Linked DNA regions of Danio rerio. The protein of the gene in region 3 interacts with the protein of the main gene of each other region in a biochemical or structural test. Links are inferred from orthologs where the notes say so. Each region holds a gene or a part of one and is shown on either strand. Other genes may lie near its edges.

Evidence for each region. The genes of interacting proteins can lie anywhere in the genome.
Region 1: the proteins of atr (region 3) and atrip form a complex in vitro, tested with the Homo sapiens proteins (4 studies listed by BioGRID and IntAct, with this or other methods). The link is inferred for Danio rerio from reciprocal best matches to the Homo sapiens genes ATR and ATRIP.
Region 2: of the proteins of atr (region 3) and chek1, one has a biochemical effect on the other in vitro, tested with the Homo sapiens proteins (7 studies listed by BioGRID, with this or other methods). The link is inferred for Danio rerio from reciprocal best matches to the Homo sapiens genes ATR and CHEK1.
Region 4: of the proteins of atr (region 3) and abl1, one has a biochemical effect on the other in vitro, tested with the Homo sapiens proteins (2 studies listed by BioGRID, with this or other methods). The link is inferred for Danio rerio from reciprocal best matches to the Homo sapiens genes ATR and ABL1.

Annotation. Positions count from the first base shown.
Region 1 is NC_133197.1:10,191,086-10,195,022, forward strand, and holds the start of atrip (ATR-interacting protein), read left to right. Parts: upstream 1-1,137; 5' UTR 1,138-1,334; intron 1,335-2,980; exon of another isoform or gene 2,981-2,983; 5' UTR 2,984-2,995; coding exon 2,996-3,296; intron 3,297-3,701; coding exon of another isoform or gene 3,702-3,767; intron 3,768-3,937. UniProt on the Homo sapiens protein: Required for checkpoint signaling after DNA damage. Required for ATR expression, possibly by stabilizing the protein.
Region 2 is NC_133196.1:24,017,262-24,021,545, forward strand, and holds the start of chek1 (serine/threonine-protein kinase Chk1), read left to right. Parts: upstream 1-1,484; 5' UTR 1,485-1,714; intron 1,715-1,933; 5' UTR 1,934-1,941; coding exon 1,942-2,006; intron 2,007-2,091; coding exon 2,092-2,247; coding exon of another isoform or gene 2,248-2,315; intron 2,316-3,222; coding exon of another isoform or gene 3,223-3,287; intron 3,288-3,401; coding exon of another isoform or gene 3,402-3,415; coding exon 3,416-3,471; intron 3,472-4,284. UniProt on the Homo sapiens protein: Serine/threonine-protein kinase which is required for checkpoint-mediated cell cycle arrest and activation of DNA repair in response to the presence of DNA damage or unreplicated DNA.
Region 3 is NC_133177.1:18,755,501-18,758,872, reverse strand, and holds part of atr (serine/threonine-protein kinase ATR), read left to right. Parts: coding exon 1-141; intron 142-2,504; coding exon 2,505-2,610; intron 2,611-3,372. UniProt on the Homo sapiens protein: Serine/threonine protein kinase which activates checkpoint signaling upon genotoxic stresses such as ionizing radiation (IR), ultraviolet light (UV), or DNA replication stalling, thereby acting as a DNA damage sensor.
Region 4 is NC_133180.1:78,512,065-78,516,237, forward strand, and holds the start of abl1 (tyrosine-protein kinase ABL1), read left to right. Parts: upstream 1-1,373; 5' UTR 1,374-2,167; coding exon 2,168-2,303; intron 2,304-4,173. UniProt on the Homo sapiens protein: Non-receptor tyrosine-protein kinase that plays a role in many key processes linked to cell growth and survival such as cytoskeleton remodeling in response to extracellular stimuli, cell motility and adhesion, receptor endocytosis, autophagy, DNA damage response and apoptosis.

The DNA.
Region 1 (3,937 bases), on a different chromosome or scaffold from region 3:
ATGTTTTCATAGATACATTAGCAAAGATGCTAAATATCTGTAGACACACTACTGAACAAAGCTGCAGATAGTATTGTTTACCTTAGCACACTGTAGCCTATAAATATTTTTTATGTCTATATAAATTAAGGTAAGGCAGCTATATTTAGCACACTTATTACAGTTTGTAACATGCTAACTTAGCTCATATTTGTTAACTGCAAAGGTTTTGTCGTATAAAAAAGATCTGCTTGTTGTGATCACATAAAAATGTACACAATCATTTGTTCTCGTCAATAAATCGTAATAGTTGAAATAATAATAGTTCCAACTTAAAACAGCAGCAACAAAAACACTCCGTAGTTACATGCACACATTGTGTGAGATAAAAAAGTATGTTGTTCATAGCGAAGATGCTAAATCTGACACAATAGCTGTAGACAAATCTTTAAAGCAGCAAACAGATTTCACCTTTTATTAGTTTATTTCTGTAGCCTAACAATGTTATGAAGTCTAACTATATCATTTTTACATCTTTTGTTAAAAATAAAGCCTTTCGCAGCTATTTAGCGCAATTATTACAATTGGTTATAACCTGCATGCTAACTTAGCTCATAATAACTGCAAAAGTTTTGTCGTATATGGTGTAATCACATAAAAATGTACCTGCTGATTTTTAGTGATGATTTTGCTTAAAATGTATCAAAAATATCACTAAACACTATTTATTTTGTGTGTGCACCTTGTAAATATATTTTTAATCTTACTCATACTACTCTGCGTCAGTGTTTTGTTGTGAACTCATATTTTTCCATTTAAACTAAAATAATACAATCTTGAAGCCTTGCGATATGTTTACTACAGGTACGAGTATGTATAAGCTAAATGGTGAAGAAAACGTTTAACAAGCCCAAACTTTTATAAACACATCTTGTTGAACATGTTTAGACAACTTCCAAATCACGGCTTTGTGCAAGTTTTCTGAATCAAAATGAATGGTTCAAAACGCATTTTGTCGCAAGAGTGTCTCCGTAATACGTGCGCTACTCCTTTGACGAATCAGAGCTCACCGCTACACACTATGGCAGTGGTTTAGCCAATCAGGTGATGTTTTACTACCGCGTACGCTTTCGTCTGGCCGCATGGACACTCCTCCTCGCTTGAATGAATACCGAACCTTCAGAAATGCCTCCAACTTTTCCTCTTTTCGGTTATTTGTTTGTTTGGTCAACTACTTTTATGTAAACATTTCAGAATTGCACTTTATCTGGAGTGTTTACTTTTGGTTTGTCATGTCGGTGATTTGACGGGCAGTTGCAGGTTATGCAGGAATCTGAGGAGCGTAAATCAAGCAGGTGACTGATAAACTTGAGCACTTTACTACACCTTTACCATGTTAAAATTGGAGTCTGGAAGAGCATTGTGTGTTAGTTTGTTAGTCCGGTAGTAATGTACACTTTATAGGCTGAAAAATAACTGGATTTTTGACCAGTAAGTGAGTGTTATCGTATTAAAATTGTCACATGCTAACTGCTTGATATTAATGAACTGGCACGAACCGTACTGTATGTCAGGGTTTTGCAGTCTTTTATATGTCACGGACATCCAAACCCAAAATGTAAACTACATATTTGTAGTTGCAAAATACATTTATACTGCGAAAACTAGTGTTAGATAATGTGTCTAATGTTTTTTTCTAAATTATTTATTTTCTGCTATAATTTTTTGCAGATTATTAATGAATTCGTTGTCCTGGAACTGTTTTAATTGTTACATTTACAGTTTAAATCAAAAAGCTTGTCTATTTAATTGAAATAATTAGATGGATAGGTTTTTAATAAATATAGAAATGTGTGTTTAAACATTTATTTATATTGTAATACATATAGACATGTTACCCTGGATGTTATGAGGCTAGAATAAAAGCAGTTTTTAATTTTTTAAAAACATTTAAGATCAAAATTATTAGCCCCCTTAAGGTATATATTTTTTCGATAGTTTACAGAACAAACCATCATTATACAATAACTTGCCTAATTACCCTAACCTGCCTGATTAACCTAGTTAAGCCTTTAAATGTCACTTTAAGCTGTATAGAAGTGTCTTGAAAAATATCTAGTAAAATATTATGTGCTGTCATCATGGCAAAGATAAAATGAATCAGCTGTTAGAAATCAGTTATTAAAACTATTATGTTAAGAAATGTGTTAAAGAAAAATCTTCCATTAAACAAAAATAAACAGAGGGGCTAATAATTCAGGGGGTTTAATAATTCTGACTTCAACTGTACATTTATAGTGGTGGTCATGTATAAACAAACATTGTACAGCTTATGCAGTACTATTTATTATAAAACAGGTGAATTTACTAAAGTTTTAATCACTTTAAGACATATTTATCCAAATTTTTCCAAATTTAATGACATTCCATTAGTGACGATCTGTCCCTCATTTGCAAAGACAGTCCTGAGTCATAAGCAGTCACCTGCCAATAGATGTAATATAGACGTGGTGTTTTAGGATGCACAAATGAAAACCGTAGATGACCATAGGCATTTGCAGCTCTGCCCACAATTGAAAAGAAGGCTATCTCACTTGAATTTAAAGCAACAGTCAACAAAATATCACAATTTGGATCGAAGTCTAAAAAGGGCAGTTTAAAAGAATTATTAGTGGGGTATTTTGAGCTGAAATTTAACACGCTCTAGGTCAGGGGTGCCCAAACCCGGTCCTGGAGGGCCGGTGACCTGCATAGTTTAGCTCACACTTCCTTCAACACACCTGCTTGGAAGTTTCCAGTATACGTATAAAGAGCTTGATTAGCTGGTTTAAGTGTGTCTAATTGGGGATAGAACTAAACTCTGCAGGACACTGGACCAGAGTTTAGGCATTCCTGCTCTAGGGGTGTCAGAGACCTATCATCTTGTGAAAAGGGGCATAAACATTTTCTTTACTACACTAATTATTTGCTGAACATTAACAAGGTTTTATTGATTTCCCAGCAGGAGCTCGTTGACATGGACTTTCCCCCGAGCAAGAGACTGAAGGGCCCTCAGGTGAAGACTGGACCCGACCCGTTTGACGATGACATTGATTTCACCCAGGATGATCTGGAGCAGATTGATATTATTGCGTCTCAGGCCATCAGCGCAGACGTCCAGAACAGCGGCTCTAAGAGATCTTTCGACGCTGTGCTCGCTTGCGCTGATGAACCGAGCAAAGCTCCAGTGAGGTCCGGGCGGAAAACATTCGCCCTTGGAGATGCCTGCAGCAGCAGCACTTACAACAACACACACGCTCAAAGGAAAGAGCCTTCTGGTCAGTACTGGATGTTTCTGTTGCACTGTACACAAGTTTTTATATGTCCCATTGGGTTTTTGCAGTTGTTGTTGTTAATTTAAAAAACAAAATTAGAGACAGTTTAAAGAAGCAATTTAACATATTTGTTTGTTGTTTTGTGTCTTGTTAGTGGGCTATTATATATATATATATATATATATATATATATATATATATATATATATATATATATATATATATATATATATATATATATATATATACACACACAGAATTTACATTTCAGCCAGCCAGCCAGCCTCAGCACTTCCAGTGAATTGTCTTTCCGTTATAAAATTGCCATGTTTAAGGTCTGGGTCAGACTGGACAAGAAGCTCAGCATTAAATTACATTTCCTCTCGCCATGTCTTTAAAATATAACAGTTTATTCAACCCCAGAAGTTTCAATGGAGTTTCTGCACTCACCTGCTGACCCTGACAGCGCTAGAGGTTACACAGTCTTTCATCTTGTTTTACACTTAAACAACTCATGCCGAGTTCAGACTGCAAGATTTTAGCCTCGATTTTGACTCGCTGGCAGGTTTTGAGAAATCGCAGACAAATGCCTGAAATCACAGGCAAATCGATGTTCGTTCACGTGAGTAACAATCACAGTGTGA
Region 2 (4,284 bases), on a different chromosome or scaffold from region 3:
ACTCCAGCACCTCGCCTCGCGTCGCCTCCTGCTTCCTTCTCCTTACAAATATGTCATCTATGTCTCTGGATAAAGGAGGTCTTGCTTTCTGAAATGTACAAATTTGGAGTGAATTCATAAAAGCTCCATTCATATAAATGTCTTTTCTATCTTTCTACCTTCTCTCTTTTACTGAAGACAAACTTATGTTAATGTCTATCTAATGTTGATAGATAGATAGATAGATAGATAGATAGATAGATAGAAAGATAGATAGATAGATAGATAGATAGATAGATAGATAGATAGATAGATAGATAGATAGATAGATAGATAGATAGATAGATAGATAGATTTCTCTTTGGGCACATAAAATTTATGTATAATGAAAATGTTTTACTATAGTTACTATAGCATAATATTATAAAATAGTAGGCCTATCATTGTATACATTAATGTATAGTATATGCCTGTCTGTTATGATATAGTAGGCCTGATTGTAAGGTTATTTATTACTATATGACTATTAGAATTATTATTGTATAATTATTATGACGTTAATATATTCAATATAAAACATGTAACGTTAATAATGGTCAACACAAATAACTCACCAATGCCACTGAATGTGCAGGTCCAGTAATTTCGCGACACCGAATCCTGCTTCTTTGGGCTGTCAACATTGTTAATTTTTTTCTTACCTTATTTATTTAGGTTTACCCTTTAAATGGTTTACTAATTTCTGACACTCAAGACAGCTTTAGAAACGACCGTCTAACACTCAATAAATGAAGTTGTGTTTACGGAACTGAAGTGATGTTGCCATAACAACGAAAAAGGACCACTTCGATACATCAGCCAAAGAGCTTAGAATCACTCTATGCTCTTTGCATCAGCCTATCTGCGCCTCCCATGTGCGCCTATAGTTATGTGATGATGATGATAATTATGTTAGCTTATAATTGTAAAATATTATTTTAAATATATCGAAATGCTAGAAATAAACTACTGCCGTGAACTTTTGCCCACTTATTGACGGGCTTTTATGTTAGAAAATAAAATAAAAGCCCCTACATAAACGGTTTATTTCATGATTATTTCTTGTGTTCTTCTTATTTATAAATAATAACATGAAAACGTAAAACGCATAAAATACTTATCATATTCATCTTTTGCTTATATAGCTAATGTTAAATACTGCTGTTGTATACATTAATATGACAGTTATAAAAAACTAAATCAAAAAATATTTTTACAGTACAATTCAAATGAAAGAAACACAACAGGGATATAAAAATCTTCTTCTTCTTTTTTTTTTATATTTCGCATGTTGTGGTTGTTCTTAATAATTCTATATAACATAATGCTAAAAAGTTTCCCAGTGATGGGTTTCAGCTGGAAGGGCATCCGCTACGTAAAACATGTGCTATATAAGTTGGCGGTTCGTTCCGCTGTGGCGACCCAAGATTGACTATGCCGAAAAGAAAATAATTGAATGAATGAATAACGCAAAAAGTTGTCCCTCATGTTAGCGGTTTAAGCTTTTATTTTGAAAATTCTTTCCTCTTAGCATTTCCGATGATGTCACGTCTCTAGAAGGCGCCAAAGTTTGGACAGACGCTCTTGTATTATTATGTCTGCATAGACACTTATCAAGGGGGTGTGTGATTATAACAACAAATTACATTAACAAACCGCTTCACATGGGACAACGTTACCTCTGATATACGCGAAGGTATGTTTGTTTTAGCTAAATTAAAACTAATATCCGACAGCCCAAAGCTATCAGATTTGACGTTTCACTGTTTACAATTGCCTGCCCCGTAACATTTATCATGTTTACTGTTATATTTATTTACTAAAAACTAACATATGTCCTGTAAGTGTTATAGTCTATTAGCTTGTTATGCTGATTTGCTTTTACAAGGTTGTTCTGACTGACTTATGCCCACAGATTGCATAATGGCTGTGCCTTTTGTTAAAGACTGGGATGTGGTACAAACTCTTGGAGAGGGAGCATATGGAGAGTAAGTGACCAATGCACTTCATATTCGTTCCATCTTGATCAGTTGCAGTCTTAAAATTGTATTAATCTGCTTCAAATCATTGTAGGGTGCGACTGCTGGTCAACAAGAAGACAGAAGAGGCTGTGGCGGTGAAAGTTGTGGACATGGCAAAAGCCAAGGATTGCATCGAGAATGTGAAGAAGGAGGTCTGCATATGCAAGATGCTTTCACACCCCAACATTGTACGTTTCTTTGGGCACAGGAGTGAGGGGACGACACAGTACATCTTTCTGGAGTACTGTAGCGGAGGAGAGCTCTTTGACCGAATAGGTAATTGAACATTTTGGGTTCATTCAATAATTGTTGCATCCTTTTTGTTTTTGAGTCGTGTAGATGAGTCAGGGTTCAACGCTGGGGAGTTTTTCTACTGGTCTGATCGGGCCAATGATTCATATTTTTACTTGCCCTGACAAAAATTTTTACAGGCCCAAAAACAAAAAAGAGAAGTTAATAGCTTTTTTTTAGCCACATATTTTAAATAATGTGACATAAATAATGTCTGTGAATCTAGAAAATAAATATTTATAATGAGCAAAATTCTCAGTGTTGTGCAAACAAAAAGAGCAGTACGGAAAATGTGCAGGTTTTTTATTGCAGTTTGAAATTATATAAAAAATGGTGGCCGACTTGTAATACTGACGGCAAATTGTGCAAAACATTACTTCATTTTTCTCATGTTGTACCCATGTAAATGTCTGCTTCTAAGATGTTAAACACAGACATTTTCTTTTATCCTTATATTTTGATGTTGCTGTCACTTCACCACTGGTTGTTACCAGGTTATGGGGAAAAATATAGCATGCTCAATACACAAAATCAGATAAGAGCAACCAAAAAACAATATGGTGTTTACGACATCACAGAAAAGGTAGCATTTAAAGACTTAAAAACACAAACTTAAAATGCTTGCATTTGACCAATAATCGCAGGTCAATTAAGCTTTAGTGACAAGGCAGCACTTTCCCAATCGTAATGATCCTGTCTACTATCCCAAGTGTCTCTCACGCTGGCCCCGGGCCATCAGGCAGTCCTTGTTGTTGAGCCCTGTGAGTAAATCAACTGTAAAAAAAACAAATGTTCCCATCCTTTGCTTTCTTGTCAGAATTGATTTATTAAAATAAAGGCATTAAAATACCTAAAATTTATCTAAAGTATATTTTGTCAATCTTTCTGACAGAACCGGATGTTGGGATGCCAGAAAAGGAGGCGCACAGGTTTTTTCAGCAGCTGATAGCTGGTGTGGTAAGATTTGTGATCTTTTTTTTTTTTTTTTTTTTTTTTTTTATGGTGTATTTTGAGAACCATTTACTCTTCAAAGTTGACTTTGTTGTGAAACTTGCTCCATCTCACTTACAGGAATATCTTCACAGTGTTGGGATTACACATCGTGACATAAAGCCTGAGAATATTCTTCTTGATGATAAAGGTACGTCTGAATGGTATTTTTATACAGGATAAAATGCAATGTTCCACATGGTGTTCGCGGGGTCTTAAAGTCCTAAAATGTTTTAAATTTCCAAAGCTAAATGTTAGGCCATAAAGTCTTTAATCTATTAAAATATTGTGTTGTAGGTCTTAAATCTTTTTAAACAGGTCTTAATTTTCAGTTGTTTATAAATAGTTACCCAATCTGGCCATTAACATCCATATAATCACCAACAATCCATCTTTTATTTACAAATGTCCTGTTTAACTCCATTTACCATAATTGTTTAATTATTTTCCTAATAATAATAATTATTATTATTTAAAAGTTCCACTTGTATTTACTGCTTAGGACACTAACCTGGATGGACTGTTTTGCATACATTTAGTTTATTATAATAACTTTTAAAACATTTGTCCATTTTTCAGAAAGTCTATGTTGAAAAAAAGAGTGTTTGCAGCTAGAACTTGCTTGTTTTGACACAATATTTTGCTAATAGATATTTAAATTTGTTATTCAATTATCATAGTATTATTAAATTATATAATTTTTTATAGTGCAAAAATAAATATTTTTTTTTATCTGGGCCATTTAAAAAATTCTTTAGGGTTTAGCCCTGTATGAGTCTAAAATTTGTACATAATGGTCAAAATGTCTTAAAAAGTCTTAAATTTAACTTGGTGAAACCTGCAGAAGTTCCAGCTTCACAGATAAATTCAGCAGCAATATCCATGACACAAACACACACAGAAAAGCATTTTATTATCGATGTGCTGATATGAAATTGCAATATAGTCTGCTTTGGAGAGCTGG
Region 3 (3,372 bases):
TGATGTTCCTGAGGTGGTTCCTTTCCGGCTCACCCAGAACATGGTTCATGCAATGGGGCCCATGGGTACAGAGGGCCTGTTCAGACAGGCGTGTGAGGTCATACTAAGACTCATGAGAGACCAGCGGGAGCCGCTCATGAGGTAAATACTGTTAAACTTTTAAATTTAACATATCATACAATAACTTTTAAATTACAATAGTTTGATGACTGCAGTGTTTCCCCTGGGTTAACAGTTTTTTGGGGGGTGGGGACATTCAAATTTTTGCTGGTCTCTAACTAATGACAGCAGATCACTCAGAGATAGAGGGATTTGCACTCGCGATATCTTTACTGCTCTATTTATATGACAGAAAAAATTAGGGGTTTGAACCTACACTGGTCTCGTGGTTTGGTTACAATTATCACGCCATTGATTCGGTTTAATTCGATATTTCGGTGCATCACGGTGCATTGATGATGCTTTCCATAATTAATTAGATTTTTTTTTCCACAACACAACTTTTTTAAAAAAATTAAAATCCATAAATGCATTAATATTTATATATTATTTGTGTAATTTTTTTTTCCTTTAATCCAGCAGTAAGATAGGCCTATATGTACTGCACTTTTAATTTGACCTGTTAAAAGAAAACACTCTTTTAGAATGTATCAAACAAAACACCAACACATGCACAGAAGACAACACGAGCATTTATAGCAAATAAACTAATGTCAATATTATCCCGCTTCCATTTTGAGCTTTCTTACACCTTTATGGTCATTGTCTTCACCTGCTTAACATAAAGGGCTGTGCTTGGCTCTATAAATGAAAGCGCTGTTCATTAAGGAGTCACGTGGGAAGAACAGTCGCGGTTACAGTCTATATCTGCATAATACGTGGTTATAATGGGTAATACGTAATAGACACAGTGGAGAAAACTCGCACCTCGGGCACACTCGTTTCTGGATCTACAAGTATCGCTTTAACAGCCAAGTGAAGTGGAAAGCTTATCTCACAAACAGCAGCGGGTCAAATGTCCAAAGTTTGTGTGAGAGAGAGAGACAGGGATGCATTTCTTCCTAGTAGTGAAATAGCGGCAAAATTATGTGCATATATATATATCTCCCTTTTAAGTAGTTGGAGCGTTTTATTTAGTCGTCCTCGCCTCCTTTGCCATAGTATTCTACTGCGACATCGCGCATATGAGATAAATGACGTCAGTACGTAATAACCGGTTATGATCTATTACTGAACCCATATCGAATTGTCCCCATCTGCATCGCAGTGCCCCGAAGAAACAATTAATTTTAACACCCCTAGAAGAAATGTAATGCTTAGAACATAACTGTGCCTCTCGCAATCTGTTGTCTCTCATTCATTCTAGTCGCCATGATTTTCAGAGTATTTTAACTCATTTTAGGGGGTCACGGGGCCGGTTTAAATTTGCGGGAGAGGTCAGGTTGGATGAGACGCTAGATCGGGAGAACGCGTCACAGCAGCTCAAAGCACTGGAGATACAATGGCTGCACTTACAACAAAGAATGCATCACTCGCGCGGGTCACGCCAAATAACTAAACAGAGGTCCCATCGCATCTGTATATATTTTAGCTGCTGCGACTGAGCGCATTGTGCTCCCACTCATGAATGAAGTTTGGCTGCTGTAGGCTATGCATAATGTATGGAAGTGGATGTGCGTTTTCAGTCCTGTCAGGTGTGGCACGCAGTCTCATTCCCATACAGCAGAGAGTGACTGTGTAGAACTCCACTGTGCGCGATTCAGAGAGCAGAAATTTGTAATCGCACGACCATGTAGAGACTGAAATCACATGTCCTTGCATAAATAAGATATAACATATGGCTATTTATCTTGTTTATTTGAAGAAGTTGTGATTTGGTGCTTTTCTCACGCTTATTAAGATATATATTCTTAATATAATAGGAAATAATATTAGTTACATTTTAAATGAACCTTTTCTGTTTTGTTAATCACTCACGTTTACAAAAAGGTATCATTAGTTAATATATTTAATGCACCAATAATAGAAACTAATAGAGAACAATACTTGTATAGAATTTATTTAAAGTTCAACATTTAATAAAACATTAGTAAGTTAAAATTCATGTTTGTCAACCTTAATAAAACAAAGCATTACTCACATATAAATGAATCTTTTATATGTGCATAAAACTATTTAATTTATTGTTTTATGATGTTAAATAAGCTCATTTGTCTGCAATTTTTGTTGTCTGTGTTTTTTTTTTGTTTGTTGATTGTGCAGTGGTGTAATGGCAATGTAGTATTATATTCACAAATTTTCAGCACTTTCAGTCATTAAGTGTAATTAGATATTAAAATCAATTTGTTACCATATATTATATTGCATGAACTATAAAATGTACAGTAGAAAGCTTAAAAAACATATCAGATCTTTATTCTATGTTGTGTTTTAATTTGAGTAATTTCTAACTGTATTTGTATTTTATTGTAACTGCATAATTATTTCTTTTTATTCCCAACCAGCGTTTTAAAAACATTCCTGCACGATCCTTTAGTGGAGTGGAGTAAACCTGTGAAGGGTTTCTCAAAGACTCAAGTCAATGAATCTGGAGAGATCCTCAATGAGAAGGTACTTCATCCGTTAATTGCTCAAGGCTGAGTGAGGATCCTTATGTGTAATGTAAATCATGCATGCTTTTGTGTTCAGCTATCCAAACATTGAATTCTAAACATAACATGGACATAACCATCGTTAAGTACACAAGTGCCTTTGTTTATGTGCATTTTATTCATTCATTCATTCATTCATTTTCTTGTCGGCTTAGTCCCTTTATTAATTCGGGGTCGCCACAGCGGAATGAACCGCCAACTTATCCAGCAGGTTTATACGCAGCGGATGCCTTTCCAGCCGCAACCCATCTCTGGGAATCATCCAAACACATATTCACACACACACTCATACACTACGGACAATTTAGCCTACCCAATTCACCTGTACCACAAGTCTCTGGACTGTGGGGGAAACCGTGGCACCCGGAGGAAACCCACGCGAACTCAGGGAGAACATGCAAACTCCACATAGAAACGCTGACTGAGCCTAGGTTGAACCAGCGACCTTCTTGCTGTGAGGCGACAGCACTACCTACTGCGCCACTGCCTCGCCTATGTGCATTTTAAATTAATGTATTTGATGTGCAAAGGTCACAGGGTATTTTTTAGTGTCCTAATATTAAAAGATTTAAAGGTATTCCTGTCAACCCTTCCTTTTTGACCAGGATTCTTTTGTATTTTACCATTCTATCATGCTATCATCCTTTTAAAATATTTACCCGTTTTTTTGTTTTTTACAGTATTTTTTTCTTTTTATGAACAGACGAAGTAATATATACAC
Region 4 (4,173 bases), on a different chromosome or scaffold from region 3:
GTGTGCGTGTGCGTGTGTGTGTGTGTGTGTGTGTGTGTGTGTGTGTGTGTGTGTGTGTGTGTGTGTGTGTGTGTGTGTGTGTGTGTGTGTGTTGATCATTCTCTCAACCTGAAGAGTGCTGGAGAAACACACATTGACTTTCATCGTCTTTATTCCTGCTATTGAAGGCAGCGGCAGCATTCTTCAGAGTATCTTATTTTGTATTCGACAGAAGAAACCCATAGGTGTTTAGAAGCAGAGCAAATGAGGATTAGGGTGGAACGGTGGCTCAGTGGTGTCGCACTGTGTGCTCACAGCAAGAAGGTCTCTGGTTTGAGTCTCGGCTGGGTCAGTTGGTGTTTCTGTGTGGAGTTTGCATGTTCTCCCCGTGTTGGTGAGGGTTTCCTCCGGGTGCTCCGGTTTCCCCCACAGTCCAAACACATGCGCTATAGGGGAACTGATCAACTACACTGGCTGTAGTGTATGAGTGTGTGTGTGTGAATGAGTGTGTATGGGTGTTTCCCAGCCCTGGGTTGCAACTGAAAGGGCATCCGCTGTGTAAAACACATGCTGGAATAGTTGGTGATTCATTTCACTATGGCGACCTCTGATATATAAGGGACTAAGATGAATTAAAATGAAAGTAGATCTCTATTTCTGTGTGAACTGACCCCTTAAGTGTGTTTCTGACGCTGCTCTGTGTGTTTATTCCACCAGGGGGCTTCAGTGATCACACAACTACAACTATAGAGCAACGCTTCTGCAACCTTCAGCAGTAATGCACTTATTATAAAGAGCAGATTTATTTAATTGCTGTAAATTATAACCGTATAATTATGTATTTATGTGCTGACATTATGATGTGCTTTAATCAATGATGGTTGTTTTTAAATGTGCTATGTAAATACAATCGAATTTAATATAGTTGTATAATAATATATACTAATAGAATAAATATTATTGATATTTAAGACAGTAAAACTCAACGCTGTTGCATCAAATTAAAGCTATTTTGGAGTTTGTTGAAGTATTTTTGTATTAATAGATTATTGAAATAAATATCAATCAGGTATAATTTAGTATGATTCAGAATGATGTTATATTAATATATAATATTATTTAATAATATTGTTGAATTAGAGAATCATAAGTCATATACACTTTAAGTTTGAAGTCTTTAATTAGGAATGTTAAAGAGAGCATTAATCTTACAGTTTTGTATAATATATGTTTTCTGCGTACAGGAACCGCAGCGTTTTTATTTTTAACTGTTTATTATTATTTATTCATATTAGAGACAACAACAATAGGTAAACACTTCTTACAAGGCGTTCACATCAAAACAAAATACAAGTTTTCGCTTGTTGGCGGAAGAGCGCGGCGCGTGACGTCACGGGCGCAGCTCGCGTGCGCGAACATGGCGGTTCCTGCGACGACGAACGACGCGAAGAAAAGTGCTGGAAGTTATGAAATATTACTAAAACATGACGAGAACCAGCATTAAAACACTGCGGGGGAACCGAGCGGGTGTCCGGTGAGCAGAAGAGCCCGACAGCGGAGACACGCGGCGGGTAGAGGAGCGTTTAAATCCGCCTCAGAGAGAGAGAAGTGCACGCGGAAGTGACGAGACTTTACCAACTAACCAGAACTCAACACCACAGCCAAAGGCAAGAGTTAAATCTGCACAGAAGAGCCTGGAGGGCTTCAGTGAGATCCACACACTTTATTCATGACTTTAATGAGCATCAGGAGATACAAACACGGTCTCATCTGCTTACTGAATGACACCACGATCACACCAAACGCGTTTACTGCACTCCCAGACTCTTCCAGTGGCTAATAATTATCATAATAACTCTAATAATGATGATCATTGAGAGTTTCACGCACACCAGAGCGTCTGAGTTCATCACTGACCCCTCTGATGTGCTGATATCTTCTCCTTTGAGAGTTTGATGTTGACGTGACGTCAGAATGATTGACAGCTCGTCAGCAGTGATGTTCATGCATTAATGCTGACTCTGTGAATGAGGATGACTCCTTCATACATCCCACAGTGCCTTAGAAACACTTCTAACCTCTAGAAGGCGGGGATCTGATCTGCGGTCAGGCTGGCACATGCATGACTGGCACAGGGGAGTGTGTGTTTTCAGGCTCCTCCAGCTGATCTCCTGCGCTGTGTGTTCTTATGGGGCAGCAGCCAGGAAAGTTAGTGGGTGAGCAGAGGAGACCGAGCCTGCCGGCACTGCCCTTCATCAAGGCCGCGGGGAGGAGAGAGACGCCCCGGCACGGAGCACCGCACTGCAATGTGTTCACGGTCCACGGTCAGTGCCAGATCCAGCACACCACATTCACTCATCACTCAAGGGGGCAGTTCACTCACGAATGATCAGTAGGGAACATTTAGGATCAGGGGGAGGCCAAGCCAGCCTGAGATCCCCGAGGCTCTGCAGTGGTTGTGGAAATTATAAATTGAACCAAAGCAATTATAATTGGGTTAAGATTGGCTATGACAATTCTGGAAAACCAGCAGAGCCTTGGAATTAATAATACAATTAATAACATTGAGGCCTTGATCACACTGAATGCACTTTTAATGGTGCGAGGTGCCTTTTTTGAATGGTTATAAATTGGTTGTGAGTGTTTGTGCACTGCTTAGGGGCCGTTCACACAGAATGCATTTTCTTTCTGTATAGTGCACTACTATACTATTGTTTTTCAATGTAAACACACGCTTGACGTACGTGTCTGACTGCTACGTTGCATCTTTTGAAGCATCTCGTTTTTTTAAACGCCATGTCTGGTTGAGAGGTCTTCGACTTTCACACACAGCACAGTCAGTTCCACAGCAGTGGACCAATCAGAAGAGTGCTTGGGTGTTGCAAGCTTCAGTTTATAGTAGAAAGTTGGCATGATAACTCTTATTTAGCTTTATGGCAGAGGAGGCGCTCATTCTGGCTGTGTCCAGATTAGGCATGGGACGATATCCGTGTTCAATGTGTACCGTGGTTTTGAAAAGTCAGGGTTTTAAATTCGTCAAAATTTAAAAGATAAATATTTTAAAGATTTTTTATTTACATTTTTTTTTAGGACAACAGTATCTCCAGCAGTAAAGATCTCCAAAGACACTGTTTTAAATAGTAAAGAAATCAGTGCTTTTGAAACTAATGAAGACAGCAGAAGTCAATAATTCACGTTTACTGCTCCAAAATACTTGAAATGTTTCTCAAATTGAAATAAATTGTGTACAAAGAGGAAAAAAGTTTTCTATCCCGACTTTTAAAAAGAATATATTTTAGATAGGAGTTTCAAAATTAATTGTTTCTTCAGTCCACCACGAAGCAAATGCAGACAATTCAGAACATCAGAAAGATCCAGCTAACTCTATCAAGCCTCTTCAGCTGCTCCAGAACGCAGCAGCACGAGTGGTCTTTAATGAAGCTAAAAGAGCACATGTCACTCCGCTGCTCATCCGTTTGCACTGGCTGCCAGTTGCTGCTCGCATCAAATTCAAAGCTCTGATGTTTGCTTACAAAGCGACTTCTGGCTTTGCTCCTTCTTATCTGCTCTCACTTCTGCAGATGTATGTGCCCTCCAGAAACTTGCGTTCTGTGAATGAACGTCGCCTCGTGGTTCCATCCCAAAGAGGGAAGACATCACTTTCCCGAACTCTCACGCTCAATTTGCCCAGTTGGTGGAATGAACTCCCTAACTGCATCAGAACAGCAGAGTCACTCGCTGTCTTCAAAAAACCACTAAAAACTCAACTATTTAGCCTTCACTTCCCTTCCTAATCTGCAAGTGCCTCTCTGGATATAACGCTAACTGTACTAAAAAATAAATAATAATAATAATAATAAATACTAATGCTTTCCTTCTTATACTTTACAGACCTGAAACTTGCCTACAGCACTTATTCATTGTTGCTCTTATAGTTGTGTAAATTGCTTCCTTGTCCTCATTTGTAAGTCTCTTTGAATAAAAGCGTCTGCTAAATGTAAATGTAAAATTTGGTATCGGTTGAGTAATAATCATAACCGCTTACTATATACTGATGTCATTTATCTCATTTGCACTATGTTTTGTAGCTTACTATGGCGAGGGAGGCGAGCGCGAGTATTTACTACGCTCCAACTACTTAAAAACGCAGAAACTGTGCACAAATTTGACTGCGTGTGTGTTTGCTGGACAGTT